Mus musculus: one gene and its partners. Each later gene encodes a partner of the first gene's protein in a complex. Links are inferred from orthologs where the notes say so. Each region holds a gene or a part of one and is shown on either strand. Other genes may lie near its edges. The genes, in order: Klhl3, Wnk3, Wnk4 and Cul3.

Region 1 (7,330 bases):
GTATGCGCTTTCAATGCGTACTCTGACTTAACTCTGAGGATCAGTTATGGTAAGGGCAGCATTACTGGTAGCATAGAAAAGATGTCTTAAGTGAAGTGTTCAATGACAAACTGGGTAAACTATGATATAGCCATGTGACGTGAGAGAATTGAAGACACATGCAATTAGACCTTCATGAAGGATGGGAAAGCAAGTTTTACAATAATGCCACAGTAGGATCCATTTGCTACTAAATAAACGATACCTATACGTGAATGTGCCTACATGTGTTTCCTGCTTGATTTCAGGCTTGGCTGCCTTGCAGGCCCTGTTAACTCCTTGTTCATGTGGATGAAGGCCAAATGCCAGTGGGTATCGCAGCGAGCTCAGGCAGTGAGCCAGTTGCTGATGCCCCTGTTTATACTTCTAACAAGTCAGCCATGGTGGGTTTAGCAAACAGGTAATATCTGCCTTGGTGGCACCTTTTAAGGCAGTCCAGCCTGGGGCGGTAGGCAAAGCCAGCCTACTCTTCCCCAGCGCAAAGCAGCAAGATAGGAAACAGCTTGGCGGGGCTGTTGGGGCCCCATGACACCTTGGAATTATGAGGACCTTTCAGCCAGACAATGGCAGAGAAAAACAATCCAGACCAAGACCAGAGAGAAGGGACTGCGCTGAGTCTCAGCGGGACACCTTGAGGCCACCATTTTGGATTCCAGGTTCCCCCTCCCACTAACGCAGAGCCTATGGGATAGACAAACCGCCACTCTTATGTTCAGGACACAGGGAGAGCTACCTACTCTGGCAATCCTGCCCCTCTTCCTATCACTCAGAGCTGGAGGGAAGAACTGTGACCCCCGCAGGAGAGGAGAGGAGAGCAGTCTCACGTTACCTGCGTTGCGCCGGCACATGTTCATGTCTGCCACCTGCTTCCAAGTGTTTGTCCCAGGATCGTAAACTTCAACACTCTTCCTCACCAAGGGTCCGTCATGTCCCCCGGTGGCATACAGCTGTCCGCTGAGCACCCCAACCCCTGAAAGGCAGAACACAGTGTCCTGGCCTCAGGCTCACTATAAGAACCAGCATCCAAGAGGCCTCAAGCCTGGATAGTCATTGCCAGCAGGGAGACTTAGGGAGCAAGTGCTGTCTTCCTGGACCTCATTGCCCTAATCTGTAAAATAAATGTGATAATCCCCTGCCTGGCTCCCCATAAGACAGGCAGCCTGCAAATAAGGAGGTTCAAAGCCAAGACCCTGTTTCTGCTTTTAAAATGTAAATATGTGTGTGTGTACATATACAGGGGCATCAAAGGGATTTTTCAAAAGGTTCAAAGAAATCCACTGAAATGTAAAAAGATGCTAATTCTCATCAGAAAACCAGCCCCAGTTACCCTGTGGCATATTCATATTGCCTTGCTTTTCCTCTGCATCTTATTATTCGGTTGTATATCTGTTGAGACAGAGCCAGGTGCTGAGGTCATTGCTAGGGAGACTCCCTGCCAGCCTGTTCCTCCAGCCCTTCTTCCCCTTGATGGCAGAAGGCATCAGATTTGTCCTGGGGGTGGGGGGGGGGAGGAGCTGAGCAGTTCTTCACTGCTGCAAGACTGAGGAGATTCAAGCCATTCAGGAAGAGAGAGGGCTAGTGAGGGTGGCTTGCCTGGCAGCTGGGACACCTACACCTGCCTCTTCAACACCCGCTCTGGGTGGCCCTTTCTCTTTCTCATTCATGGAGAGAGGGAGTTGGAATGTACCCATGATTCTGTGGACTATTGCCTTCGGTGGAAAGACTGCATCCTTTCTGCTGGGTACTTTCTAGAAAAATAAAACCTTAGTTCCAGAGACACTGGCCAGAAGCCCAGTGGGGTATCTCAGTGAATTCGATGTGCAGCCAGGCTGTGGGTCTGGGGCTGAACCCGGAGGCTATAGACTTCATGAGGTCAGGAACTGCTTGTGTTTTGCCCTGGTCTATTTCCCTGAGGCTACTGGTGATGGGCTCCTGCAGATACTATCTAAATAACAGGATGTCATGTAAAATCCCGGCCAGAAATTATAGCGGGTTGCCAGTGGTTCCTGGCAGTTGCTCTAAACTAGCAGCAGATGGTGCTGTTGTACCAACAATGACCTGTGTCAGGTTGTGAGAGTCTGAAAATTCAGTAGTTGCTTCACCTTCTCTTCCTCCAGGGTGAGCAGGAGCTGACACTTCTGGGACCCTGAGATGGTCTCTGCCCACCGTGTCCATCCCTCTGCTTATGCTGTCCACTCATAAGGGAGCTAAGAGCCACCTAGACTTTCCCCCAGCAACTCTCCCACAATCCTTGGTAGCCTGCTCATAGACTCTCACATAGAATCCGACGGGCCTCAGGGAGCTATGACACAGAGCCTTCCGTCTTTAGGTCTTTGGCTGTCACCAGCTCCCAATGAGACAAGTACACAGGCTCCTGGTGCTAGTGATGACACATCCCTAACTCTTTATCAGAGTGAAGCACTGAAGAAAGGGACCCGGGAACGGGGTTCCGTCCCAGGACAGGGCTCCGTAGTAATCTGAACAAAGGGCTCTTCCCAGCAAAGGTCTGGGCCTCCCATAAATAGAAGCAGCTGTAATGGCATTGTCTGGGGCCTCCAGCCAAGGATGGGCCAGGTGACGTCCACCCCAACCACCGCCACAGGCCTTTAGCACTTGGCCCAAGTCATAAATGGATTTTTAGGAAGTAAATAGAAGGTTCTAGAAGCTATAATTACTAAACCATCAGGAAAGGGGGAAAATGTCACAGGATTTATGGATGGAGCTGGCCCTTTGGGAACATGGGCAGCCTGTGCACTGGACAGCTAGGGTGTTAGATGGCAACGATGGGGAATGGGGTCGCCCAAGTTGACGTGGCAGGATGGGCTACTGGACTAAGTGCCTGGACTTCCCCCATGAGACAGAAAAGGGGGTCATTATCTCTCCTCGGTGGAGAAAAACAAAGCAAGAAAATGTGGGTGTAGGGGATCGAGGTTTATCTCCAGCCATAAACACTGCTATGCCAGCCTTTACTCCCAAGACGTGGGCTTCAGGCAGGCCAGCTAGGCTTCTTAGCTAACGCCAGGGCAGTAGAACCTGTCCTCCCTCAGGGGAATAAGGCTCATTATTAGACGGCTAGACACAATTACCTTGGAAAGAGAATTCTAACTCTGCAAGCCTTCTATTCTACGACCTTGGGCAAAGTGATCCACCTCAGGCCAGACTGACTTTCAAACTCTGGTCAGAGGAATCAGCAGTGGTGGACTAAGGTGAGAGGAGGAGTGGGTGGGTGGCGGCTAGCCTGGGCCATGGAGAAATTGTCTCAAACAAACACAAAACGGGGCAGTGAAGATGACACGCCTTCCATGTTGAGCAAGGAGTCCCTGGGAAAGTCTGGTCTGTGTACATGTGTGCGTGTGTGCGCGAGTGTGTGTGTGTGTGTGTGTGTGTGTGTGTGTGTGTGTGTGTGGACATGTAGTAGCCAGGTTACTTACAACTGGAGGAGAAGAGACAGGATGAGGGGAAACAGGCACGGTTCAGTGGTTGGTCTTTAGTCTCAGCCTGTAACCCACACACACTCCACCCCACCCCCATGCTCTCCTGTGCCCCAAGGCTCTCACATACGTACCAGCGCCACTGCGTCGGGTGCTCATGTCTGCCACGTATATCCACTCGTTGGTGGCTGGGTTGTACTGCTCCACGGTGCTCAGGCACTGCCTGGAAGCACCATCGTAACCCCCGACGGCATACAGCTTCCCTGGAATAGACCAAGTGACTGAGATTGGTGTTGGTGGCACTGACACAGAACCGGAGGAGCTTGGCTGGTGCTCCATTTTTAACCCACAGAGGTACCTCTGTCTCAATCATCCAGAAGGACCCAGCTTGCTCTCCACACACAGGGCACATCTCCCCCACCCCACCTCCACCCCGCCACATACCCGCCTGCTCTGAAGCCCTGAGATGCTTAGAAGCAATGTTGAAGCTTCCTAAAAGAGGCCCAGGTACCCAGCACAGAGCACCCACTTGGCATCAATGGGGTTCGATATAGGCTTGCTTGAGGAGCTAGGTTAAAGCACACCAGCAACGGGAGCTACAAGGCTCTCCACCATGACCACACATCAGGCTTTCTGGACATAGGCTCATACTGACAAGTGAAGAGGATACAGAAGAATATTCTTCCAGCCCCACCCACGCCATAAGGGAAGCGCTCTGTGTGCACCCAGGGCTGAGGCAGCTGGGATTTTTCTGCCGGCCAACTTTGTTCTCTGAGCTGTATACAAGAACCCTGAAGTATTATCAAGTATCCCTCAATAAAAATAAGGCTGACCTCCCGTGGGAGAGCCATTTCCATCTGGGGCTGGGAGCTAGGCGCTAGGTGCAGTAAAGAGAGGGGAATCATTATCTGACCTGTGAGGACAGGGATTCAAATATATGGGGTTTAACATTTAGTCTTAGATACAATAGGAGAGTTCCTATCTGCGGGGACAGGGAAAGAAGCCCTACTTCACCTATGGATATCAGATCTACAGGATATCATGACACCAGCCACAGACCATATTGACACTAGCTGCAGGCTAAATAAGTACAGGGTTTGAATTACTTAATCAAGAATTTTGGGTGAGCCATTAAATGAGTCCCTAACGTGGAGGGTGCAACCAGGATGTGAAAATTCACATTCTCGGGCCCAAAACAGCGCTATACCATCAAGGCTACCAATCCAGAAATCCTATATCATTGAGCTGTGTTTTTCTCCAAGTCTTTTCAGCTGACCTTTCTGAAAAAGGACTCATGCACAGCTCCTCACTCACAAGGTCCAAGCTGACAAACAAAATCCCCCGGGGCCACCTCTCCGTGTGTGCCAGCTCAGGTGGTCCCATCTCTGTGATTCTCTGCTCTGTTGGGCATTTCTGTCTACACTCCAACCCACACCTCACCTTGTCCTTATGAGGGATTCTTCTAAGCTGCAAGTAGCTAATTACCCTGTAATTCTTAAGGGTCATTCAGACTGCATAGCCTCGGTAGTGTGAGGATGTGCCTGGAGAATGGGCTGTGTGGAAAGCTGAGTCCTTAACCACTATGAAGCACAGTCCACTCCAGTGCACCCTGCACATTCTTAGAAACACTTTCTGCCGTCATGAGGCAGCACACAGCCCATAGAGCGTCAGGTGCAGGGTGGGCAAGAGAAACAAACTCCCAGCTTCCCTCTACACCTGCAGGGCAAGCCATTTGCCTGCCCTTCTGTAAGCAGACACACTGACACTGCCCGTGTCACGGGCAAGATTTCCAATCTCTACCATTGAGACACCTCCGCTAACCCTATCAGCCATTCGAATCTTGTATCAGCTGAAGCAAGCAGGCTCTTCCTGAATGTGCATGCTGTTTTTAGCTGCTGGTCTGTTGGCTGCTCCTGGCTGAGGAACGAGAAGGGAAACGAAAAGGGAAACAAGAAGCCAGCTAGACAACGCTCTTGGATGTGGCTGACAAATGAACTTGTATCTCTCCAAGAGGATACAACTTATCCTGATAGGGGGACAGAATCCTGGCCTCTGTGTCAGGACTGAACTCAGAAACTTCTACCTATCAGCAATTGAGACCTGACTCTGGCTCCAGATTAGGAGTCATAAGACCTTGAGGACTTCTCTGCTATTTACTATCATAAGACAAGGACTCGGTTTCCCACTGAGAAAAATCGGAGTCCTGCCTGTGTTCTTCCAGATGGCTTGAAAGAATGAGTAAAAGAAAAAAGATGTTTTACGAACTTCAGGGAACGCCCTCCTGCCTTAGCCACAACCCCATACTTAGCCTATCTGGGGACATGTCAGACCTGAGAAAAAGAAGCCCGCATTTCTCACATCCCTGCTAGCATGCAACACATAATAATTATGCAAGCATAATTTGTACCCCTCCCTGCTACAGTGTACCCCAGTTTGTATGTTGATTCTGAGCTTCCAACATCCTTCCCATCCCCCACTGTTAGCAGAGATACAAGGGACAGGCTGTCACTTTCCCCCAAGTGTCCTCTTTCTCCCCCAACCTGCTGACCCCCTTCGTAGCCTTGGCTCAGGAGTTTCCCCACCCAGTCTCAGCCCTCCTAGTCTGTTTACTAGAGACAATGAACTTAACTCTGGTCAGTGACCTTAAGAGTGGAGCCCACAGTAGAGGGGGCATCAAGCACAATACTGGACTCAGGACAAGACCCACGGGCTAGGGTAGGAGCAGCCACCACCCTCTGCTACCTCCTTACCCTCCACAACACCCACTCCCACGCTGCTCCGCCGTGTGTTCATAGGGGCCACGAAGAACCACTCATTGGTCTTGTAGCTGTAGGCTTCTACGGATGCCAGGCCTGGGGAGAAGAGAATGGTGGGATTTCTACAGCCATGGGCCTCGCTATGACGTGTGAGGAATGCTGAGACCAGGAAGAGATGAGGGCAGGTCTACAGACTCCATATCTAGCTTGGTACACCTCTGCCTAGTGTGTGGCCATGGTAACTCCTCAATCTGCACAAGGTGACCACTGACTACCAATGGTTCTGTGACATACAAGGGAGCTGGTAAGAAAGCTAGGGGTATGCCCTAACTGTACTATAGATACGAGCCATTAAACTTACAGAATGGGACATTTGATCCCAAATAAACGCCCCATGATGCCCCTACTGGGCACCAGTCCCAACCCCCTTCCCGTGTCTTCCTCTATTTTACAAGCTAGATGGCTAAAAATGTACCTCCCAAGATCCCATGCAGGTAGGTGACCCTGAGCCCTAGGCAGAATTCTGACGAAGATTTCTGGGGTTCCCTTGGCATTTCTGATGCAGGGGTGACCTCTTTCCGCTTCTTGCTACTAGAGACACAAGCACCCTGGCTGGAGTCAAAGCAAACTATATTGTGATCATGGGAGAAGCCCTGAGGATCTTAAGGTACTCTGCCCCAGTATCTGTGTGCAGTCAGACCAATTGGGAACAGTGACCCCTGAATTCCATGCTTCGTCTCTGGAGTAATACAGCAGTCAGCCAGGCTTTCCCCTCTGCCGAAGAAGTTCCACTGCAATAACCATCTATGCCCTTCTTAGCTTATGCTCACTGAGGAGCTGTCAGAGAGACGTTCAATAAAGAAAAACAAAACAAACAACACTGCATTTATCTCCCTCAGAGACAGAGACTACTGCTGTAGATGGAGTCACTGTCTTCGATAAACTGCCTGGCTCAGTATCCTGTCTGGTGACGTAAGCACAGATGTCCTCTCTCCAAACTCACACCCACTAACACTTCAAATTGAAATGTTTACAATTGTTTCTTATGTGTGTGAGTGTTTGGCCTGCATGTATGTCTGTGCACTCCATGAGTGCAGTGTCTGT
Region 2 (7,819 bases), on another chromosome or scaffold:
AGATTTGTTACTACAGTTACCCAATACCATGTAGTCATCTCTAAAAAAATATATATACATATACAAGCTGGGTAGTAGTGGTGCACACCTTTAATCCTAGCACTTTGGAGGCAGAGGCAGGCCAATTTCTGTGAGTTTAAGGCCAGCCTGGTCTACAGAGCTAGTTCCAGGACAGCCAGGACTACACAAAGAAACCCTGTCTGAAAAAACAAGCAACAACAAACATACACATATATGAGGGCTAGAAAGATAGTTCAGAGATTACACACATTGCTTCCAGATGACTGGAGTTCAATTTCCAGCACCCACATGACAGTTTACAACCATAAGTAACTCCAGTTGCAGAGAATCAAACTGGTGCCCTATTCTGGACTGTGTACATCAGGCATGCACATTGCAGCTCACAACTATGTGTAACTCCAGTTCCAGGGGACCCAATGCCCTCACACAGTCAGGAAAAACCCAGAAGCACATAAAATAAAAATAAACAAATAAATCGCTGTGCTGGTGAACTAGCTCAGCAGTTAAGAACACTGGCTGCCCTGCCAGACACACTGAGTTCAATTCCCAGCAACCACATGGTGGCTCACAACCATCTCTAAAGCTATCTCTTGTCCTCTTCTAGCATGCAAATATACATGCAGACAGAACACTTATAAATAAATAAATAAATTTTTAGAAACTTAATTGATATATTGGGGAAAGACTACACAAAGCTAAGAGGTGGTGCCAATTGATAAATGCAGAAAGTAGAAAATATAAAGTTGGCATTTCAGGCAGGAGGATCAGAAGTTCAAGACCAGCTTGGGCCATCAAGTTCTAGGTAAGTCTTACAAACAGAACATCATAATCACAGTGTAAATTACCTGTGTAAAGACACCAAAGAGTACCAAAACCTACCTGAGATGTATTTCACAGTGTCAAAGTATATACTCCAAAGATATTTATTAATCTAACAAGTAGATAATAGGAACAATCTGACAGTAGGCAAGTGGTCAAAATTACCTACCTTATCTTTAACATATACCAATATCATGTATCATTGCTATTGCAGACTTAAGTAGATGGGCATCACTTTTGTGGTAGTCTTGATAAATAATGCAGAGCTTAGCTAGCCAGCCATGGCAGTGTATGCTATAATAATAGTATTTAAGAATCATAGTAGAAGGTTTTTTAAATGAGTTCTTGGTGTTTGTAAGCTATATAGTAAGACTTCATCTCAGAAAGAGAGAGAGGAGAGGGAGAAACAGCTAAGACCCTTTGAAAGTTCAAGGAAACCCTGGGGGAAAAACTGTTAAAGAAGGGGGAGCACACACAGTATAGAAACATGGATGTAATCAAATAACTGAAGAGGAGTATTTGCAGGCAAACTCATATATTCTGGTTAAGTTCAGTATTTTAGTTTATAGGGTATCTTTGTAACCCTTTTGTAAGTAGGAAATCACCTGAAAATCAGTTCAAAAAGAAACCAAGGTAGTAAAGGAGTAGCACCTCTGTTTCCTTCTGCTTCTAACCCTCTCATTTCCTTTAAACAAACCCATAGTTAAAACAGCCCTTTCATCTTTCTGCTAACTCCAATCGCCAAGGCTTGTTCATATACTAACTATACTCATTCTACTCTAGGCTTTATGAAATCTGTCTGTGTCTGCTTTTTCTCCCTTTATGTGTTCCTACCATTTAGTATAGGTCTGGCACATTGCAAGGAATGTTTGTTGACTAACCAAAAAAAAAAAAAAGACAACTGTAATAGGTCACATCCATTTCCTATTGCTACAGTAACAAATTAGCATAAACTTAGTGGATTAAAACACAGATGTATTATGTTCCAGAAATGGGAATCAGAAATCTACAGTGAGTCACATTAGACTAGAATTCAGACAGCAGCTGTTTCTTCTGGGGACCCTAGGCAACTATTTATTTCCACGCCTCTTCCAACTTTCTAGAGGGTATCTGCATCCTTTGGCTTGGTGACCTAATCCTGCAACAGCATCACTCCAAACTCTGCTTTTATTCATAGATCTTTCTCAAATGATTGCCAACCTGCTTTCCTCCTTACAAAGACTGGTGATTAGATAAAACAAGTTAAATTCACTATTTCCATCTCTAACTTAGCCTCATTAGCAAAGCTAGTTTTAACCAAGTAACGTTGAAGCCATGGCATCTTTGAGATGTCGTTATTCAGCCTACTACACATATCAATTTCTTTCTCTTTCTTTTTGAAGTCAATTCCACAAATAACTAAAAATAACTCACAAAACTATTTAGGAATTAATGATATTTCCCAGACTAGACTTGTCCCTTTCCACCATCATATTTGAGCAAGCTTCATCATTCCTAGATTCAAGAGAATCTCTTTAGCCCTGGGTCTACACTTAATATCGATGACTGGATCTGACAAAGACAAAAGGAAATAGAACTAAATAGCATTGGGATGAGCTTTAATGGAATTAACCATATTCATTTTATTGGTGGCTTAAATAGAATCTAGAAACATTTCTGAAAAGGTAAGAGAACTATTTTAGAATCAAAATTAAGTGTCCTACAGTGAATATTTTAAAAAACTGCATTTTTAAGAAATAAGATCTAGCATCTAATTCAATATTTTTCTGCCTCAATCTCCTAAATGCTGGGGTTAATTAATGCTTAACCCTTAACCATGAATTTTCGGTTACTTCTTCTACTTCTACATTATCTTAAATATAATAATATAATAATCACTACTATAATAAAAATACACATACAATGCTCACTCAACATGTTAACCTGCTATAGTCTATTGTGCCTATTTTCTCTTGCTGGTGGTTTTGCTTTGTTTTGATTTTCAGTAGCATCTTTAGTTCACAGACTCTAGCTGGAGTTGCTAGATGTCTAGGTACAACTTCAAGGAGGTCCAGGTCTAGAGGTGTAGCTCTGCTGGCAGAGAAGTTCAGCCCCTGAAAATCAAGTAGACTGGGCATGGTGGTACATGCCTGCAATCTCAGCACTTGGAAGTGGAGGCAGGAAACTCAGAAGTTGAAGATCATTCTCAGCTACATAGTGAAGTTGGGGCTAACCTGAAATATATCAGACCTTATCTCAAATAAAATATAATAATCTTCCTATACCAAACTCTTAAGATTAAATTTTAGTCTACCCAAATAGCAAACAATATAACTTTATAATGGGTGGAATCTGCGATATTTTATAGGCACCATTAGAATTTAAACAACAACCTATCTGTAGTGGCTATCTTTAGTCAATCCTAATTTTGTGATTTAGGGGTTTTTTGTTGTTGTTGTTATTGTTATTGGGATTTTTTGTTCTTGTTTTGAGGAAGTGTCTCATGTAGCCCAGGTTACATATAGTCAAGAAGGACCTTGAACTTCGGATCTTCCTGTTGTCACCTCCCAAGTACTAGAATTACAGACATGTACCACTATCCTCAGTATATGTAGTGCTAAGATTGAACCCAAAGCTTTGCTCATGCATGCTAGGGCAAGTACTGTACCAAACTGAGCCAGATTCCAAATCCCAATCTTAATTTTAAGCATCCCATATGAATGCTGATACTTTTTTCATGAGTTGGCTGAGGTCTCCTTATATTTGACCTGTATCTAGCTGAAACTATTGTCATTCTAATACTTTATATCTGATGCTGTTCTACCCCTCCTTTGTTAATAGTACTACATAAAACTGTCTGCTTGAGCTGACTCGCTAGCATCTGCAGATTCTGCTGATTCCACTTAGCTGTAATTTCAAAGGTATGAGGATAGAATAGCAAAAGAAGTTTTCAAAGAGTCAAAAAGTCTCTTTCCTGTTTGTAAAAATATCGATGAATTTCACATTTTTGTAAGAAAAAAATAAAGGTAGATCTCATACTAAATACATTCCTATCATACATTTAAATATGGAGTGTAACAATCAGACAAGATATATACACTCAATTCTTAAAATGAGATGTTAGTGAGAATTGGGGGAATTTCCTAAAGCTAATAAAAAATTTTTCCCAAAGAATGACACAACACAGACTTTTTGTTCTTAATGCAGGAAAGGAAAGCAAAGATGGCAAGTGCCTGTGACTAGAGAGACAAGTCCTACTATGACTAGAGAGAAACTAGAGGGACTGAGACAGAAAGACCACCAGTCTGAACCCAGCCTAGGCTACAGAGAGAATTCAGGGCCAGATTGGGCTATATATCGTGTATCAAAATAAATGATAAATGGAAAGCAAAAATTAGTTTTATTACCAAAGGCTGGGTATTTTTATAGCTCACTCGTAGACTACTTGCCCAGCACATACAAGACCCAAAAGTTGATCTCTAGCATCAGAATATACATAAATGAATGAATGAATAGAGGAGAGGAAGGGGTATAATTCATTGGCAAGATACTTATATAAGGCTCTGAGTTGATTCCCTGCACTGCAAAATTAAGTTAAAGGCAAAACTGGCATGGAAATATATCTCAATGGTAGACTGTCTAGCTTGAAAAGGCTCCTGATTCCATCCTCAGTGTTGCCACAAAAGAAGAGGAGGAGGAAGAGGAAGAAAAATAGAACAGTGAGGGGAAGATAATTTTTAAAAAGCTTGGCATATATTCCTAACAAGAGCATAATTTCTCAGTGATGGTAGAAGGGCTCTTTACGTCTTCATCCGGATCATTCTCGCAGTCCCGGTAGCTAAATTTGAAATTCATAAAGCCAAGAAAATTATATACGCACCTGTAGCTCACACCAAGCAACTTCAACCCATGTCTCAGTGTCCAATCCTTTATATACCGTTTTAAATGCTCCTCTTCCCAGCTCTATATCGAATTTCAGGAACCTGCCACTAGGGGAAGTTGCAACAGCCTTCATTTCTGCTTCTTCTTCCATTTCCTTTTCAGTTTTCTCCTTGAAGCAATCTTTTGAGGATTCTGAGGTTGCCTTTGAACATTGCTCATATTTAACTTCTTGCCCACCTCTTAGCACATTTGTAGGAACTTTATCTACTCTTGAAATATTTGTTGCAGCTTTTCTTTCATCTCTGCGGGAAGATTCGGCAACTTTGTCATCTTCTGTCATCTCAACACTCTTTCGGAAAAACCTCTTTCTTTCGATGTTTTCCCCGGAAGCAGAAAAGGTACTGTATTTTTCCTTTATTCTCGCTTCTACAGTCAGAGGGGCAACAGCCCGGGCAGCCCTGTTTTCAAAGGAAACTCCATCAGGCTTCTCAGAATCTTCTGTGCTAGCTGGCTCCCCAGAATCAGTGGCCATTGTAACTAAGGTTGGCACTAAATTTGTTCTTGTTTCACTCTTCAGTCTACTTACATCTCAGGTATGAGAATTTTCAGAATGTACTTCCTTTTATATGGTCATATATTCCCATAGCAACCTGAAGAATGGAAAAGAGATAGTTTTAAAATCATACAACAGAAATCATTAAGGAAAAAACAAGTCACGGGATTTAAACTTTCTTAATAAAAAGTTTATTCTTGTTGCTGTACAACTTAGCAACTAAGATAGCAGGGACTAAGTATGCGTTATCATTTTTAATATAGCTACACTGACTAGTAAACCACTTTGCATACAGCTCTTTTTTATTGGATATTTTCTTTATTTACATTTCAAATGTTATCCCCTTTCCTGGTTTCCCTTCTGCAAACCCCCTATTCCATCCTCCCTCCCCCTGCTTCTATGAGGGTGCTCCCCCACCCACCCACCTACTCCCATTTCACTGTCCTGGCATTCCCCTACACTGGAGCATCAAGCCTTCACAGGACCACGGGCCTCCCCTCAGCTGATGCCAGACAAGGCCATCCTCTGCTACATGTGCAGCTGGAGCCATGCATACAGTTCAATATGTCTTCATATGCAGAAACCTAGTTCTCAGCTCATCACAATCGCCCAAATTCAATACAGGTGCCCAAATCCTAAATACACTTAGCCATACATAAGTTGAGTAAAAATACCACATGTTTTCCAGAAGAATTTTGCCTAAGATTCTGAATTCACCTGATACTAGTTTCTTTAGTTTGTGGTCAAATATATGTAGAATCAAGTTTACTATTTTAACTATTTTACATGTAGTGCCCCATAGCATTAATGCATTATTCACAATGTTGTGCTATCTTCACCTCTTACAATATTTTATTATTTGTGTGAGATAGCGCTCTCCTACTTTCATATGAGTTCCTGGGACTAATCTCTAGCTGTCTGCCTAGTAAGCACTTTATACACTGAGCCATCTTGCTGGGCCTATCATCACTTCAATCCATTCCCAAAGCAATTTCATCATCTTAAGCTGACAGTTTATATTCATTATAGAAATTGTCCTATCCAGCTGAGTGCAATGGAATGCACCTATAGTCCTAGTTACTCTGTAAGCTGAAGGTAGAGAATCACCTAAGAATCACAAAAGAAACATACCTATTTTTATTCATGTACATATGGAAAATAAAAGTTGGTGTGCATTGAATTCTTTAATTGCTCACCATATTTTTGAGACAGGGTCTTACTATTTAGTCCTGGCTGCCTTGAACTATGTAGACCAGGCTGGCTTTGAACGTACTTACTATATTGCCATCTTCTGTGATATAAAGAAAGCAGCTACAACACTACTAATTAGGAATACAGGTAAAAAGCTTACAAAGTTTCAATGTACTACTTTGCTCCTTTTTTTTTTACATGTTTTGAGATTTTTCAAATTAAAATATTTCAGAAGGCTGTGGAGATGGGCCTGCTAGTAAAATGCTTACTTGGCAAGCATGAACGCCTACATTTAGATCCTCAGCACCCTTGGAAAATCCAGGTGCAATAATGTATGCTTGTAATTCCAGTGTTGAGGAGCCAGAGACAGGAGAATCCTTAGGATGAGCTGGCTAGCTAGCCTAGCCAAATCAGTAAGCTTCAGGTTCAGTGTCTCAAAATATAGGGTGGAAGGCTGGGTGTGGTGGCCCATAGCTTTAATTCAAGAGCTTTGAAGGCAGAGACAGGCAGATCTCTGCCTTGTCTACATAGTTACTAGGTAACCAGGTCTACATAGTAAGACCCTCTCTCTAAAAAGGTAGTGAGCAATTGAAGAAGACAGGTTAAGATACAGGCACAGGCATAGGCATGCACTTTCTGAAAAGGAGCTCAATAACACAAGAAATAATCCAAGAATTTATAAATGACATTGCATGAAATTAAAAAGCTCTGCCCAGCAAAGGAAACAATCGCCAGGTCGAAGAGACAACCTACAAAACCAGAAAAAGAAATCTTTACCAATAACACATCATACAGTAGAGTAATACCTAGAATACATAAAGAACTACAAAAATACCCAAAAATCTAAAGCATCCAATTAATAAATGGGCTAGTGTGGACAGTTTTCAAATGAATACAAATGGCAAATACATGAAAAAGAAATTTTGATATCCTCAGCAATCAATGAAATATCTATTAAAACTACACAATCTCACTCCAGTTAGAATGTTATCATAAAGAAATTAAATGTTGGGTTGGGCATGGTGTCCCATGCCTTTAATCTCATCACTTGTTAGGCAGAGACAGATGGATCTCTATGAGTTTGAGGCTATCCTGATCTACACAGCAAGTTTCACACCAGGCAAAATTACATATTGAGACTACCACCTCACACCAGTCAAAAAGGCTAAGATCAAAAACTCAGGTGACTGCCGGGCGTGGTGGCGCATGCCTTTAATCCCAGCACTCGGGAGGCAGAGGCAGGCGGATTTCTGAGTTCGAGGCCAGCCTGGTCTACAAAGTGAGCTCCAGGACAGCCAGGGCTATACAGAGAAACCCTGTCTCGAAAAAACAAAAAACAAAAACAAAAAAAAAAAAAACCTCAGGTGACAGCCC
Region 3 (7,795 bases), on another chromosome or scaffold:
GGCACCTGTGACCCCCACATACATGTGCACAGTCACATACAAAATAAACAAGATGTCACTCTAAAAAGACTGACTCTTGGGTCGAGCTGGGCAGTGCTTTGGAGATTGCTTTTGTGCCGGGCGGTCTCACTGGCTGGCTTGGAGCTCACTGGCTGGAATCATAAGAGGTTCATCTACCTCTGCCTCCCAGGTGCTGGGATTAAAAAAAAAAATGTGACCCCCGGGGCTAGAGAGATGGCTCAGCGGTTAAGAGCACTGATTGCTCTTCCAGAGGACCTGAGTTCAATTCCCAACAGCCACATGGTGACTCACAACCATCTGTAATGGGATGCCCTCTTCTGGTGTGTCTGAAGACAGCTACAGTGTTCTCAGATACATAAAATAAATAAATAAAACTTAAAAAAAAACACAAAAAACAAACAACCATGCCTTCTAAGCCAGCTTCTTGACCCATCACATGTGACCCTTGACCTCGAAACTGCCACTCCTCTATTGAGAATCCCATATTCTCACCCCTCCTTCCATTCAGGTTCTCAACAAGCTCTCAAGGTTCTGCCCTGGCATCTATCTCCACACGTACCTTCTCTTCCACTAATCTCTGCCCATCACCTCCCCTCTCCTTTTCAATCAGCTTCGCTCTGGGCTTTGCTGGGTGAGTAAAAGGACCATCTGATTTCAAATCTAAAAGGCTTGAGATTACATCCCTCTTTGTCATTTGTTTTCTTAGGACTCTAGACAAAACTGTCAGTCTCTCTGAGCATACATTCCATTGCCCTCCCAAGAGGGTCACGTGAAAATGCTTTCTTTCTTTAAGTCACACGTAACATTAAGGAGCACCTACTATTGCCAAACAGTAAAGGACTGAGGGGAAAAAAAAATCAGTAAAATATTATCCAACCACGGATAGTTTCTAGTCTAGCAGAGGAGAGGGACGGGAAATGTATTCAGGTATGAAACAAAGCCCAAGATTTGAGGTTGTTATAAAGCCGCCCCCATCCCTCACCCCAACCCACGGATTTGAAAAGAAGCATTTAGTGACCGTCCTGGAACTGATGATGCTAAGCATAGACCGGGGGGGGGGGGGGGGGGGGCGGGGGGGACGGGACAAGAAGGTGGAGAGGGAAAAATAAAGAGATAAATTGCCAAGAAAGGCATTCTGTGATAAACGAATCTGCAAGGCAAAGAAGTGAGGTTAGGGTTTCCAGGATTTGTTCTCAAAAAAGAACCCTGGTGTGCGCAGACGGATTAGGGCGGAAGAGGCGGAGAGACCCCTGTAGGATCTACAGTTCTGGGTAGGGGGTCTCTGCTCACTACTCCAGAGCAGCACCCCGGTCCTTCCTGATGACTGATGGCAGATTGTCTATTACACACTCAAGCAAAGCAGGATCTATCTACACTCTCCTCACCATCTCCTGAGCCACCTCCTCCGCAGCGTCCCGGCCGAGCTGAAACAGGAACTCGATGGCCTGGTTGTCTCGTGGACGCCCCCCGCGCCGCGCATCCTCCATGCGCAGCCAGAGCTTGAGGCCCGGCTTCTCTCCATCATCTTCCTCTGCCAGCTCCACGTGCACACCTCGTTCCTCGCGGAAGAACGCATGGGCCAGGAGATCCTGGATGGTGAACCTGGGGACCGGCGGACAGTGAGCGGAGACCGCTGCCACTGCCCCATCATCTCCATCCCCTCTCTGCCCCGGACCCCACCTCTCGTTCTTATCCGTGCGGATGCAGCCTTCAATGATCTCCTTCACCTCTGGCATCTTCACCTTGTAGAAGCTGTTGGGCTTTGTGCCCTGAGAGAAGGGATCACATGAGGCCACGGGTTGCCTGCGACCCGCGACCCCATCTCAGCAAGTCTGCAGTGCTGGCAGGCGCCAAGGCCTGGGGGAGGTTGGGGGAGGATGCTGGTACTGAAAACTCGATTTCCGATCCCATTCTCTCCACATAGTGTTGGTGTGACCTTGGCCAAGACTGCCAGTTGCTTGTTCTCTCATTTGTAAAGCACAGGGTAAAACGTTTGCCTGGCTCACTTAGCCGGGCAACTAGAAAGATCTACTGAGATTGGCTGTGAAGTTATCTGTAAACTCTTTGGATTAAACAAATTCTTACCAGCTTGTGTGAAGGGCTTATGTGCATACAATACATTTCTGTTTCACCAGGGCATCTTTCTGTCTGGCCTGGTGGCCTGGTTTTATTAAAGATATATATATATATATATATACATATATATATATACACACATACATATATGTATATGTGTGTACACATATATACATTATTTAATATATGTACAATATGTAGTATATAATCTTAATATGTTAATATAATATGTGCTAATGTTATATATTAATATATGACCATATAAAGGGTACTAACTACATACAGACTAGTTAAAGCATAGAAGAGTGGGAGGGCCACTGGGGATTCCCAAACCCCACCCTTCTCACCGAAGTGACCTTGCGGTAGATTTGTGCTGCATTCTGACACTCGGAGTAGGGATACTCAGACGTAGCCATCTCCAGCATGCACATGCCAAAGGCGTACACATCCACAGCCTCGTCGTACTTTTCCTCGTACATCTCAGGAGCCATGAATTCCGGGGTCCCTATTGGACCCACAGAAAGAATCAGGCTTCTTCCTCCTGGTCTCCCCCCTCCACTTGGGTATATCATATGGGGGTCGGAGGGAGTCTTAATAGCCCAAGAGCAACCCCAGGGGTTCTGGAGTGTTGGTGACCAACTCTTGCCCAAAGCCTGTGTCAGGGGCAAGAAAAATGGGTCTCCCTAGATCAATAGCTCTGCTGGAGCAGTGTGAGAGGGGTCCCATGCTCTTTTCTTATGCAAAGAAGGTAGCAGTGGCAAGGGTCCTGCTGGAGAGACGCACCAATGACGCTCTTGGCAAAGGAGGCGCGCTTGAGCGTGGCCAGTCCGAGGTCTCCGATTTTGACAGAGCCTGAAGGGCCAGTAATGAAGACGTTGTCACACTTGAGATCTCGGTGCAGGATGGGGGGCACTCGGGAATGAAGGAAATGAAGTCCCCGTAGAATCTGGCGACTCCAGCGCTGAAGGACTCGGGGCTTCATTTCGCGGAACCGCCTCAGGTACCTGGGAGAGGGTGTGTAACCATGGTCAGGGCGGGGATATCTATTGGGACTGGAAAATTCCTTCCTAACCCATCCTTGCCACCACCTCTGCCTCCTCTGCCAGCATTATTTTAATTTAGACCCGTCTGGGTCGGAAAGAAACTGAATCAATGAGTGCAGTAAACAGGTTACAAAATGATTCTGATGGTAAATTCGCAGATAGGGCCGCAGCCAAGGACGGTGCTGTGGGAGCGCCGGAAGGAATGACTAACGGTCCCAAGAGTGGGGAAGGACTAACTTTTGTCTTGAAGGAATATAAGTTCAAGGGTGAAAACGGGGAGGGAGGGATGGAGACTTTCCAGGCTAGAGAGCCACAGTAGTGACAGTTCAGAATGCGAGGAATCACTGAGAATTGCGTTCATCTGTAACTTCTGCTCAAGAGGAGAGTGTGTCGTGGGGACTGAACGGACTTTACCCCCGGGGCAGTGGGAAATCTTGAAGAGGTTTAAAAGACAGAGTCAAAGGGTCAGGTCTCCCCTGGTTTACAGGAAGATAGTATAACTTGAAGGGAGGGCAGATTGGGAAAGGCCGTTTAGGAGGGCTGCTGGGAGTTGGGAGGGTGACAGTGGTGGAGCAGCAAGGTAGGGACAAAGATGGGCGGGGGGGGGGGGGGAGACGAGACCCAGTGCTAGGACTTATGAGACACCACTGTTGAGAATGAGGGTGCGGCAAAGACACCCAAAATTTTGACCTGTATGTTCGGTGCACATTGACATTCACACAGACTGGTAAGAGGGAGAGAGCCTGGTTTCAAGTTTGAAGTGACTTGGGAGAAGTTCCCAGAGCCTCGGAGTGATGTTCTATCCTCCCCCCTCCCACCCAGGCCAGAGCTCACGTCTTGAGCGTGCCCGAGGTCATGAGTTCTGTGACCAGCACGATGCAAACCTGGCCCCTCAGCACCGACTTCCAGGAGTCATAGAAGCGGACGATGTTGGGGTGCTGCAGCCCCTTGAGCATCTCAACTTCCTCGGAGAAACGCTGCCGCTCGGCCCGAGAGAGTTTCCGGGTCTGTGGGATGGGGTGACGGGGTCACAACAGTTCCAGACACACACACACCCCAAGAAGAGCATGGGACATCTGGGGTAGGGCTGGGGGAAGAAATGAGGGCGGGAGCGTACAGCTGGGGTATGGTTGGTGAAACCGCTAGCCAGAAGGGCTGTAGACCCCCAACTTTTGGCTGGTCCTTTCTTATTGCTCTAAAACGCATCCACCCTGGGCCTGGGGCAGCACTCTGGACCCCCTGCTGGACACAAGCGCCTTTATGCAACCAGGTCTGGGAGTTATGCACTCAATAGCGCCTTTGTGGCCTCCAGAGCCTACCGTGGAAGGGGCGGGGTGGGGTGAGGGTGTGTGTGTGGGGGGGGAGCAGCCAGCAGACAGACCAGGAGCAGGGAATTGGGGCCGTCAAGAGGTTGGCCCTAAAAACTAGGAACTGCAGAATCTAGACAGAGTCAGAGGAAGATACCAAGAAAGAAAAGATCCAGGGCCAGGAGGCCACCCGCCCCCCCATGGCTGGAGCTGCCCTACCCCTCTTTTTATCCCTCTCCCTCCCCCTCCCCTGAATCTGGCTGATTTTCCAGGCGGGGCTTAGAGCCTGGGACGCAGCACTAGCAGTCACTAGGAGAGAGCCCTATGCCAGGACCTAAGTGGAAGGATCCTTCCTCCTGGTTTTGTACCCTAAAATTTTCTGGGACCACTCACACTTAGAGTGGGAGCTCCGGGAGGAAGAAACTGCCAATCCACATCCTCCTGAAGTCTAAAAGTTGCAAGGGCTCAGCTCCTTTGGCAATGGAAAGGGAGACCCCAGGTATGCATAGGGATGAGAAGCCGGACTGGACTCCAGCTAGAACTAGAGCTTCCTGTCCTGCTCCTTGAAGCTGTTGAGAAATCTGTAAAGTTGACAGCTCCAGAAAGGGCCTGAAGAACCCGCTTCTGTCACAACTACCCTAAATCTTTCCGGAGGTGGAGAGGGCCTTGTCCTCAGCTCCTGAACTCCCACATACCATCTCTAAGTCTGTAAAGAGGGAGAGGAGGAGGAGGAGGAGGAGGAGGAGGAGGAGGAGGAGGAGGAGGAGGAGGAGGAGGAGGAGGAAGAGGGGTGGGTGGTCCAGAGTCACAGCGGAAAGTCTCAGAACTTGAAGGAACAAGAGTGGAAGGGGCAGGAGAGACTGGAGGGCTACCCGCTGCCCACCCAGTTTTCCAGCCCTCAGATTTGTAGAGGTTTGAAAGTGAAGTTGTCTATGCTCATTGGCAGCCACTATAAACCACCCGGCTCAGTTTCTCCTGAAACCACCCAGAGTCAGTACAATCATGCCGGCAAGGAAAGCAAGAGCGCCTGGACAGCTGACAAAAAAAGTGATCCTTCCTTTGATGTTGTCCTCCCGTTTCCCCAACCTAAGACCCCCAAAGGCCCCATCCCGAGGCACCAGAGAGGGGGTGCCCAGCCACACCTGCAGCTCACACCAGGCCACCTCTACCGTGGTGTCGGTGTCTAGCCCTCGATACACGGTCTTGAAGGAACCTCTTCCAATCTCAATGTCAAACTTGAGGTATCGGCCGTCCGGAGACGTTGCCACAGCCTGGGTTTCTGTGTCCTCTTTTTCTTCCTGCTCCCGCCGCCGTTCCCGGGCTGCAGCATCAGGAACCCTCGGTGGCTCCCGGGACCCTGGACCTCCTGAAGATCCCGTAAGCTCAGGACATGCAGAGTCCACAGCCTTCACGGGAGCTGCCCCCATCCATGTGCCCTCGGGGGGTTCTTTAGAGCTTGAAGGTGGGCTCCTCGTGGGGCCAGCGGAGTCTGGAGGATCCGGGGGTTCCGGAAGGAGTGAGGCTGGTTGAGACCAGGAGCTCAGCAGTCCCAGATCGACTGAGCTGCGGCGGCTAGGTCTCGAAGAGCGCGGCCGAGGCTCAGCCTTCCCAGAGAAGCGGCGCACTCGGCGAGGAGGTGGCCCCAGGCGGGTCGGCCCCGTAGAGGTGAGAGCCGGAGATGGCCGCAGAGCCAGGTCAGCCTCGGTTTGGGACATGGGGACCCCAGTCTCCGTATTTCGAGGTGCTAGCATGGGAAGGGCCAGGCGCCGCAGAACGGAAAGCCAGGAGGCTGGAGGTTGCTGCCTGACAGGCAGACCGGCTGGGTACACCGCGCTCCAGCGGAGCTGCTGGGGCCCCAGCCCCCGACTGGCCTGCCCCGCGACCCGCCCCCGGCTCCGCCCCACGACCCGCCCCCAGCCGAGACCGGTCCTCACCCCCCAGGGCCACCCCTTGTGAGCCTGGCGAGTTGCAGTGTGGAGCTGGGGTACTGCCCCTCATCTCGACTGCTGCTTAGGCCCCCGGCTGCGTGCTCTGCTTTCCAGAGTCCCCGCCTTTAAACCTTCCCGGCAAGAGCTGAGTGAGTGGGAGGCGGCAGTGGGTAAGCTCCCGCACCAGGAGAGGGCAAACACATTTGGGGTGGGGGAGTTGGAGAACACTGGGACGGGAGATGAAAAGTGACCGCCGCTCCTATGCCTCAGCGAGGGGGAGGGGCACCACCAGCCTGCACACCCTTGATAAGGCAGCACTACCAAGTCCTAATCAGGAGTAGTAGCCCCAGGCCTAACATCGGTGTTGGAAAGGTATGGTTTTCTTGGCTCAGCTAGGGCCCTGGCCTGCACAAGGATGGGTTGGGTATACTCCAGTCAAGCCCCTCCCCCACCACCCGGCCCTAACCAAGAGCTTGTCACCCATCAACTCCACCCCACCTTGGCCTGAGCCTGGCCCTGGCCAGAAAGGCTGTTTTTGCTGTGGGCTCTTTCCTCCCCTTGTGTTTGCCAAAGTCTTCAATAAACCAAAGTCCACATCCGGTTTACCCCCCCACCAGCTCCCCTTGGCCACCGCTACCCCACCCGGACCATCATGGGTAGAGGGAGGGGCTTCAGAATAGTTCAGGACTTCCATGGGGGAGCAATTAAGTGACTCCAATTCAGAGAGCAAGCAGCCTGTCCCCAAGCTATGTCCCACCCGAACTCCTCCACACGACCCACCCAGCACAGCACATGGCAAACCACAGGCTCTCAGGAGCTCCCCCCCCCCCCCAGGCCTTTCTGTACAAAGGCCAAAGGATTCTTCTTTTTCCTTGGCTGAGACTCAGTCAGGTGGAACTCTGCAGCGCCTTCCCTAGTCCCAGTTCAGCAGTAGTAACAGGCCGACAGTGGGAGTAGAGATTTTAATATCATAAATCAGAGTGGGCCCGCCTCTCACCACCAGGCCCCTTCTGGGGCTTCCTATCTTCATACTGCCTGGCCGGCTGCCTGCAGCCAGGGCTTCCCCCATCCCTGGGGAGGATCCAGCACCAGCCTGAGAAGGGAGGCAACAGCAGCTAAAGGAGTGGGAGGAGGAGAAAGAAGCTTGTGCAGGCGCATGTAGGTGGGTGTGTACTTATGTGTGAGAACACATGTAAAGTGTCAGGTTTATAGACCCTGGCTCGGGGACAGTATAGGATGGGAAAGGAGGTAGGGCAAGAAACGCATCCTTTCTCCGTGGCACTGTGGGCTTACTCTATCCCAGGGACAGAAATAAAGGGTTATGTGGGAAACATCCCTAAGTCTGAGCTTTCAGGACTTGAGCCCTTTGAGTCTGGAGGAGTGACAGATCCAGTCTGTGGGGACACTAGGTCTGTCTCCT
Region 4 (8,043 bases), on another chromosome or scaffold:
ACAACACTCATGTACATAAAAAAATTTTAAAGATGAAAATTAATATTATGCTTTTTATTTCCTTTTTCTCTTTTGCTTTCTAATTTCTAAAGCAAGGAAACATTAACTGCTATTAAGTCGAAAGCATAAGTCTCAGTGTAAGCAACATTTTGATACACCTTCCTACATAATTTCTCTGTAAGAAACAGAGGATGAAAATAGATTTACAGTTAATTCCTGGCTTTGTGTGAATAAACTGTTATTCTCCTATATATACAGTCCAGATACTTCTCTGTACCAAGTACCTTCTCCAGGAAATAAACCTATCATGAAGATCAAAGATGTCCCTTAAATCTGGCAAATACTTTTGTAGCTAGAAATAGAAGAAACATCAACTATATACCCAAGTCCTCATCTCTTCATGCTCTAATGTCTGTCATGAATGATCTTAACATTTTTGTCTGTCACTTTGTAGGCACCATTTGCTGACCATGTTGCACAGGTGAAATTCATCTACAATCATGGAGATTACATCAAGAGTTGTCCCTGTTATGATTTAGCAAGCTGTATAAACTATGAACTGACATTACTTCTAGAACTCCATGGTAGCACTTTTAAGAGAACGGTCAGAAAGTAGAAGTGATTTTCAGTGTCTCCTAAATCTAAGGATAGCATTTTTATTCAAGAATCACATGTTCAATTCCAATCGAGCCTGTTAAAGCCCATGGGAACAAAAATTCTGGACAATACGACGAGGAATGGCTTTTCAGAGAAAGGTTAACTCAATGGACTATACAGAGCTGAGAATGTATGAATTAAAACATGTGGAAAAAGGAAAATATCTTTTCCAAAGGAATTACTTAGCTCAAATCCATACACAACCAAACTCCCTTCTTATTAATCTTCTGTAGCTCCAACTTATAGTTTGATAAGAATTTCAAAATATTATCAATAGGGGCTGGAGAGTGGTGCAGTGGTTAAAAGTGTCCCTTGCTCCAGCAGCAGACCAGAATTTTGGTTCCCAGCATTGGAATGGGTAGCTCACAAGGGCCTATAATTCCAGCTCCAGGGTATTTGACTCCACCCTCTGCAGGTACCTTCAGCATTCATATGTACAATTGAACACACGCGTAATTTAAAAATCTTCTTAAAATAATGACCAACAGAAAGATGTATAATAAGCTATACGCTACATAATGAAGGGAAGTCTAAAAATTAAGGGATTTTTTCTGACAACAGTTAAAAATACAGAAAAATTTGATCTTGTAAATAAATTTTGTAGGTTTAAACTGAGGGAGGGGAAAAAACTTAAAATATAAGTTAAGCTAATGTGGTGTAACTTTTATTCTGCTTAAAAATGTGAAAGCAAACTTAAAATATGCACTAAAAATGTAAGAGAACCTGATTTGGTAGAACTTTAATAAAGTACTTTTTTGATAAAGTACTCATCTATATATGAAATATATTCTGTAAGTTAACTTACCACTATTGTACAATGAAAAATCAAACAAGTCTAAACTTACTTCATTCCTTTTATACATCCATTTTATAAAAAACCTGAAATGAGCAACTGCCATTACTTATAGCTAACTACATATCCACATAGTATAACACATAACAGTTGTAGGAATACACACATGTAATAAACATAAATGGTATTTTTTGTGTATGAAATACTATGTATTTTAACTTCTAAGAATCCAAGTGGGTTGTACTTATATACAAGACATCTAATCTGAATGAAAGCAATTCTGACAGCCTAATGGACTCACTTCCCAGAACTCAATAAAATATCACTGGAGCATTATTTAGCCTCAACAATAGCCAATTATTTCAATGGGAACAACTTATGGTTATTTACTTATGAACTGGAAAACAAACAAAAAACAAAACAAAAATCTCAGTTTTAGTACTAGCCTATCACACACTAATACCATCTTCATTCAGCTAATGGTACAAAATTCTCTTCCTGCTTCTAATCCCTAATGCTAGCTCCAGAAACCACTGATCTTTTCCTTTTTCACATCTACTGCTAAGTCCTAAAGCTCTAGGAATAAACAGTGCCTGCATACAGTACTCAGTATATGGGGAGAGGAAAACAGGTTCAAGTAGAGAAACCTAGAGGTCAAAGAGCTGCAAACACAGATAAAGGTAGAACCGGTTACTCTGAAAAATATTAACTGGTCAAATATAAGCTCTTTCACATTTTACTAAACAACAAAGAAACAACAGAACCAAGAGTAAATATTTCCTAGAAAAATCAGTGTCATAGTTGATTAAAAAAAAATTAAAACATAAAAAACAACCATGTCTGAATTCGCTTAAAAAAAAAGAGGGAAGGATGTGGATTTGACAATCACTTGGGTGGTTGATTAGGTAGGGAAATTATTCAAGTTCATAAACCTGGCTCACTGTCCAATTACAAAGGAAAACATAATAGTTACCTTTATTGGCACTGTGTTTCTAGCATTTCTCACTTTCTGGTGTAATCTCTTATTTACTTAAAAAAATCGTTCATAATGCAATTATTATTAAAGTATCTCGTCCTCCTGATTATACCCTACATGTTAACATAGAGCCCATTTATTTACATAAAGGTGCAAGTTTTTACATGCTGACAATATGTCCCTTGCAAAGTCACAATTCTGCATCGCTTGTACACTTCTTTGGGATGAGGAATTCAGAGGCCCTCAAGTTCTCCAAGGCAAAGTTACTTAACTCAGACAATACTATCGTGGTCTTTCATTCCTCACAGCAAAGGGTACTTCAGGAAAAGCCTGTTCAAAAAGTGATGACAAAGGCCCCCTTCCCCTCCCACACGACAGAATGCTTATGAGTCTTAGAAGGGAAAAACAACCTCCCTCCGTTTTACTTTTACAATTCTGCTCCACTGATGGCTTGTCTATTTGACATTTACCTGTCACTGTAGCGACACGAGCAAGTACGTCCAGTTTGTTACAACAGGACATTTTAATTGCCTGCCACTGGCTATCTGATCGAGGCATGACATCCAAAGTTACATACTACTCCATCTACTAAACACCGCAAGCCTATGACTCAACGTAACGCCAAGAGGAAAAGTTTCTGAAGAGCAAATGTTTGCTGTCGCTAAAAACGTACAAGGTAAAACAAGTCTGAGTGGCAACTATTCTTGGGGACCTCCTTGACTAAGACACGGAAAAGCTGTGCCTGGCCCTCCAAGAAGTGGAGGGGCGATTCTGAACCGGAGTGGGTCAAGCGCTTAGGAAGCTTTGCAGGATCAAGGATGCTATAAATACTATGCTCCTAGTGTTTTGCCAGTGGGCATTTCTAGCATCTCTGTCAGTGAGTGGGGCAGTGGGATGGCAAGACCGCCCCTGACTACGGAGTCGAGCAGAGGTGGACAGTCCTCCCCACCGCCGTAAAAGCCGAGCCGGCTCCTTCTGGAAACCGCACGCTAAAAGTTACACACACGCCCCACGCGACGGGTGCGGCGGCCACAGCGCGCATCCCCTCAGGGCCGCGGCCCCCGAGGCCCGAGCGAAGGAGGCCCCGGGGCGGCCGGGGCGCGGGGAACGGCCCCGGAGGTGGCCGACCCGGCCCCGCGCCGCCCCGTTGCCGGGAAGCCTCGCGCTCCGCCACCGGCGGCGGCCGTGGGGGGAGGGGAGGCCGGCTGCGGCCTGTTGGCGGAGTTCAGCCCCGGCCTCGCGTGCGGCTCCGGGCCGCGGCTCCCGGTCCCGGGCGCCGAGGACCGACTCACCGGAAAGGCCCGGATCCGCATCTTGGTGTCCTTCCGGCTGCCCGTGCCTTTGCTCAGATTCGACATGGTGCTCGGCCCCTCCCCGGCGGCGGCGCTGACGGCGGCGGCGGCTGCGGCTCGCACTCGGAGGCGCCGGTGTCACATTGAAGGCGGGAGGGCAGCCGCGGGGCTCGGCGGGGGGCGGCGGCGCGGCCCCCGGGCTGGGCTGGGCGGCGGGCCGGCCCCTGGGCGGCCGCGGCGGCGGGGGCGGCGGCTCGGGCTCGGGCGGCTCGGGCTCGGCCGGGGGCTGCGCTGGCGCGGCGGCTCCGCGGGCTTCCCCTCGCGCCGGGCTCGGCTCCCTTTATCGCGCTCCTCCGCGATGGCGGCGGCGGCGGCGACGGACAAACATCTCACTGCGCAGGCCGAACGTCCTCCTCCTCCTTCTCCTCCTCCGCCTCAGCGAGACGAGATCCGGCCCAGAGGGTGGAGGGGGGAGGAGGGAGGGAGGAGAGCGGAGAGTGGAGAGATGGGGGAGGGGGCGGGAGGACGGGAGGGGAGGCGGGAGGCCGCGGCGGGCACGTCAGATCTCGCGAGATCGGGGCGGGCGCGCGGTCGGGGGCGGGGTGGGGCGAAGCCCGGGAAGGGAGGGCGCAGGGAGAAGTGGGGTCTGAACGTGGTGGGGAGGGGGGAGAGGGGTGGATTAAGGAATGGGCGTAGTCAGCGCCCTGGGGGGCGGGGCCTGGTGCAGGAGACGTAGGCTGCGTTTTCAAAAGAGGAGCGTCGGAGACCCCAGTAGGCTGAGGTGGCTTCTGATTGGTGGAGCGCGAAGGTGGTGGGTCACGTGGGTAGTGGGCGGGGGAATTTCCGGAAGGGGGAGAGGGGAGTGTTGTGTTGTGGGCTGGCGGGGCTGAGCTTGGCCCTAGTAGGTAGGTAGTCCTGGGAAAGGGCGTGGGGTGCGAGGAGGAAGGTTCTACGTCCTAGAACTGCTCCTGTGTTTTTCTAGGGCACGTGGCCTAGGGATGGGTACTTGAGCCCAGCCAGAAACTTGAAAGCAGGGTTTGTGCTTGAGTTACCTGCAGACTGCGAAACCAGTGTCCTGTTTTTAGCTAGGTGTTGCAGCGCCTCAGAATCAACCCGGCCTTCTTACACTGTACAAGCTCCTGGGTTTGTTCATTAGTTGATACCTTCTGGAGGATCCAGAGCCCACTAATGTTAAAACCCGGTTTTTGTTTGTGCCGAAATAAAACAAATGCCTAATATACTACAATATTGTGTTAAACATACGACCATTTCCAAGAACAGTATAGATCATTAAAACCAAAAGCACTGTGAAATTAAGTTTGCTGTAGGTTTGGAGACATTTTTCTATTTGTTCGGGGACTCTTATCCTATAGTCGAAATGTCCAATTCGACTGCTTTTGGCTTCTAATTCAGTATGAATCCTACATCTACCTTGCATACTTGCTCATTTGCTGTTTCCAACGCCCCTGGGAAATCTGAGATTCTCCCAGTTTTGGATCTTCCCATTTTGAGTGAACTGTTGTTGGGATTAGCACCTACAATTGAAATTGGTGGCCCATGACCTTAATCCCAGCATTTGGGAAGCAGAGGCAGGTGGATTTCTGAGTTCGAGGCCAGCCTGGTCTACAGAGTGAGTTCCAGGACAGCCAGGGCTACACAGAGAAACCCTGTCTTGAACACCCTTCACACACCCCCGCCCTCCAAAAGGGAAAACTTGATAAAGCTTGTTTATTTATGGTTGAATTGACCCTAAATTATTTGTAATGACTAAGCTTAGAGAGTTAAGCTAAAAATAAAATATCAAGAATGGGTTAAGTAAAACAAGGAAGGGCTCTGATGAATATAGTGAGTGATGCATAGTTGTTTATAACTAGTATGCTAATTGATTGCCATTTCCATAATTATCAGGATATAAAACCTTTTTCTATTGGCTGTCCTATCATATGGCTCTATTTCTTATTACAATATACATTTTAAGCCATTGGCTTTAATCTAAGCTCTGCCACTTTATCAGCTTTCCCGAAAGAACTGCATGTTCTCTCTCATGAGAAAAAGCCAATAGTATTTGTAATATGCAGTCAAAGATGCATGTGGGTATGGAGAAAGAAGCAACCCTGGATATAAGAATATCAGGAAGGACTGACTTGACTGCAGGTAATGCACACAGTTATGAAGGAGGATTTAAAAATCTTATTTTTAGTTATAATGCTGTCATGGATCTTGTTTTGGTTTTTTTGTTTTGTTTTGTTTTTTGTTTTGTTGCTTTTGGTGGTGAATAAGTGCGTGAATAGTAAAAGTGTAAAATTGTAATGTGACACTCCACAGCTTCCTTTCTAAATGCCATGTTCCAGGTGTTTCAGAAGTTCATGGAGTCTTATGAAGGTGATGCTTTATTTGCAAGTTTTTTAAAAAATAACAAAAACTATTCTACATTGAAAGGTTTAGCCTTATGAAAATCAGTGCATTGCCCTAATCTTTCTCGTTTTTCCATGAACTTGGGAAACCACCCAAAGCCAGAATAGAGGAATTAACTACCTTATGACCTATTGCTATTCACTTGCAAAACTATATAGCTATTTTCATTTGTTTTACAAACACAGATTTCCATGTTTGTGTTACTTAAGCAAAATTTAAATGCATTTAAAAGAATCACTATCAACTGTTTGGATTTTAACCACCAAAAAACTACCAAAAAATGCTTCAAAATTAATCTCATTGAGAAATTTGCTGATTTGTCCATTCATTTGTTTAATCAAATATTTACTAAATTGCTAGTATAGATGTGAAGTACTAGAATAAATGAATGAGTTGAGACCCACCATCATAGAACATAAAAGTCCTTTTCTATATCACAAAATTAGGAACCACAGTCCCAAGTTGAACTAAGCAATAATTTTCTGTGTGCTTCACCTCAGAAATCAGAGATTTGTTTTCTTTCTTAGGGAAGCAGCATCCTCAAAAATATATATGAAAAGACCTCTATGTCAGTAGACTATTCTTTGCCCCATGGTGGTCCCTCACTTCCAATGAAGATGACCTTTCAGATAATTATCTTTTGTGCAAGCAGCCACCTTCCTAGCAGAGCAAGCACAGTGCAATGAAAACACACTAGATCTTGCATGCCTGACAGTTATTATTCCTACTCTTGCTGACAGTGTCCTGACACAGGGAAACAGTGGCCTCAGTTCCATTATCCAGAGGAGGACATGCAGTCAGGCAGGTCAGGTCAGGCAGCTGGGTGAGCCAGCCCCTCATCTAAGTCCCAGACTGTAAAAAGCACCATAAGGTATGAAGAGCCTATGAAAGGGAATAGCAGCCACTTCTTGGCCATGAGTCTCTAGGTATCCAGGAAACCAAGCCATTGTAATCACTGCTGCAGACTCACGTGTTTGATTGTAAAGATAGTAGTTATTAAATCAGCTTACAGCCTAGCAATTCAATTAGAATTTTATGGTTTTGAATGGACCAAGACCATGAGAAGGGAAGTTCTATGCTTTTCAGATTAGAAAGACAAATAGAGAGTCCCAACTCCTTCATGACGGAGCTAGTTCTTACTTCTTTGTCTCCTTATAACTATTTCAGGTCAAAAGTTGTTCAGATGCCTGGTAACTGTGTGTTTACATCAAATTGTAAGATGCCATGTAATCAGAGGGAAATCAGAATAAACTGACAAATTAGCAAACCAACCACTAAAAATTGACTATAAAGACTTTACTGTCTACCTTTTCTTTTTATGTCCTGAGACAAGAAGTATGACACCTATGAGAGGACAAAATAAAGTTAGCAGTTTGAACTAAAGAAAAATCCACATACCTAATCACTTCATAAAAACACATCCCCTTCTCCATCATACTTTCATGCTAAATATAATCTGGTGGACAATTCTAGAAACTTCATCATTGACGTAGACAGTGTTCTGTTTATTCCACCAAGTGAATCTTTTGTGAATAAAACATAAACACACACACACACACACACACACATATATATATATATATATATATATATATCTTGGCAGAATATAAATTCTCAGTTATTGGCATTGCACCCATATGTTTTTTTAATTACTTATTAGCCATAATGTGTGTGTGTGTGTGTGAAGATCAAAGTAGGACTGAGTGACACAGTTCTTTCCTTCACCTTCATGTGGATTCTGGGGTTTGAACTCAGGTTAGCAGGTTTGTAGTGCATGCTCTTTTACCTGTTGGGCCATCATGCTAACTTCCTCATTATTTTATTTCCAAGGAAAATAATTTCCTCTTACCGATAACATTGTAACAGTAAAATTGCAAGAAGCCTCCAGGGGACAATTATGAATGTTCACT

What was found.
Region 2: the proteins of Klhl3 (region 1) and Wnk3 are in contact, whole or in part, in a crystal structure (PDB 5NKP), measured with the Homo sapiens proteins. The link is inferred for Mus musculus from reciprocal best matches to the Homo sapiens genes KLHL3 and WNK3. Residues at the interface, in NP_059111.2 of Homo sapiens: Lys312, Arg339, Phe355, Gly357, Arg360, Thr386, Phe402, Gly404, Ser405, Gly407, Ser432, Ser433, Tyr449, Gly451, Arg454, Cys456, Ser481, His498, Arg528, Tyr577; in NP_065973.2 of Homo sapiens: Glu537, Cys538, Glu539, Glu540, Thr541, Glu542, Val543, Asp544, Gln545, His546.
Region 3: the proteins of Klhl3 (region 1) and Wnk4 are in contact, whole or in part, in a crystal structure (PDB 4CH9), measured with the Homo sapiens proteins. The link is inferred for Mus musculus from reciprocal best matches to the Homo sapiens genes KLHL3 and WNK4. Residues at the interface, in NP_059111.2 of Homo sapiens: Arg339, Phe355, Gly357, Ser358, Leu359, Arg360, Thr386, Phe402, Gly404, Gly407, Ser432, Tyr449, Gly451, Ser481, His498, Arg528, Tyr577; in NP_115763.2 of Homo sapiens: Glu557, Pro558, Glu559, Glu560, Pro561, Glu562, Ala563, Asp564, Gln565.
Region 4: the proteins of Klhl3 (region 1) and Cul3 are in contact, whole or in part, in a crystal structure (PDB 4HXI), measured with the Homo sapiens proteins. The link is inferred for Mus musculus from reciprocal best matches to the Homo sapiens genes KLHL3 and CUL3. Residues at the interface, in NP_059111.2 of Homo sapiens: Pro73, Tyr74, Ala77, Met78, Asp82, Met83, Ser84, Glu85, Glu92, Ile93, Lys94, Asp95, Pro125, Ser128, Leu129, Gln131, Met133, Arg136, Asp160, Val161, His162, Thr163, Thr165; in NP_003581.1 of Homo sapiens: Ile44, Asn49, Ser50, Gly51, Leu52, Ser53, Phe54, Glu55, Leu57, Tyr58, Arg59, Tyr62, Thr63, Leu66, Lys68, Met118, Asp121, Ile122, Met124, Tyr125, Arg128, Val129, Gln133.

The regions. Positions count from the first base shown.
Region 1 is NC_000079.6:58,010,226-58,017,555, forward strand, and holds part of Klhl3 (kelch-like protein 3), read right to left. Parts: intron 6,323-7,330; coding exon 6,221-6,322; intron 3,734-6,220; coding exon 3,605-3,733; intron 1,010-3,604; coding exon 869-1,009; intron 1-868. UniProt on the Homo sapiens protein: Substrate-specific adapter of a BCR (BTB-CUL3-RBX1) E3 ubiquitin ligase complex that acts as a regulator of ion transport in the distal nephron.
Region 2 is NC_000086.7:151,195,554-151,203,372, reverse strand, and holds the start of Wnk3 (serine/threonine-protein kinase WNK3), read right to left. Parts: upstream 5,296-7,819; 5' UTR 5,234-5,295; coding exon 4,700-5,233; intron 1-4,699.
Region 3 is NC_000077.6:101,259,075-101,266,869, reverse strand, and holds the start of Wnk4 (serine/threonine-protein kinase WNK4), read right to left. Parts: upstream 6,304-7,795; 5' UTR 6,199-6,303; coding exon 5,590-6,198; intron 4,148-5,589; coding exon 3,975-4,147; intron 3,102-3,974; coding exon 2,881-3,101; intron 2,603-2,880; coding exon 2,445-2,602; intron 1,791-2,444; coding exon 1,702-1,790; intron 1,624-1,701; coding exon 1,407-1,623; intron 1-1,406. UniProt on the Homo sapiens protein: Serine/threonine-protein kinase component of the WNK4-SPAK/OSR1 kinase cascade, which acts as a key regulator of ion transport in the distal nephron and blood pressure.
Region 4 is NC_000067.6:80,336,528-80,344,570, forward strand, and holds the start of Cul3 (cullin-3), read right to left. Parts: upstream 4,164-8,043; 5' UTR 3,785-4,163; coding exon 3,719-3,784; intron 1-3,718. UniProt on the Homo sapiens protein: Core component of multiple cullin-RING-based BCR (BTB-CUL3-RBX1) E3 ubiquitin-protein ligase complexes which mediate the ubiquitination and subsequent proteasomal degradation of target proteins.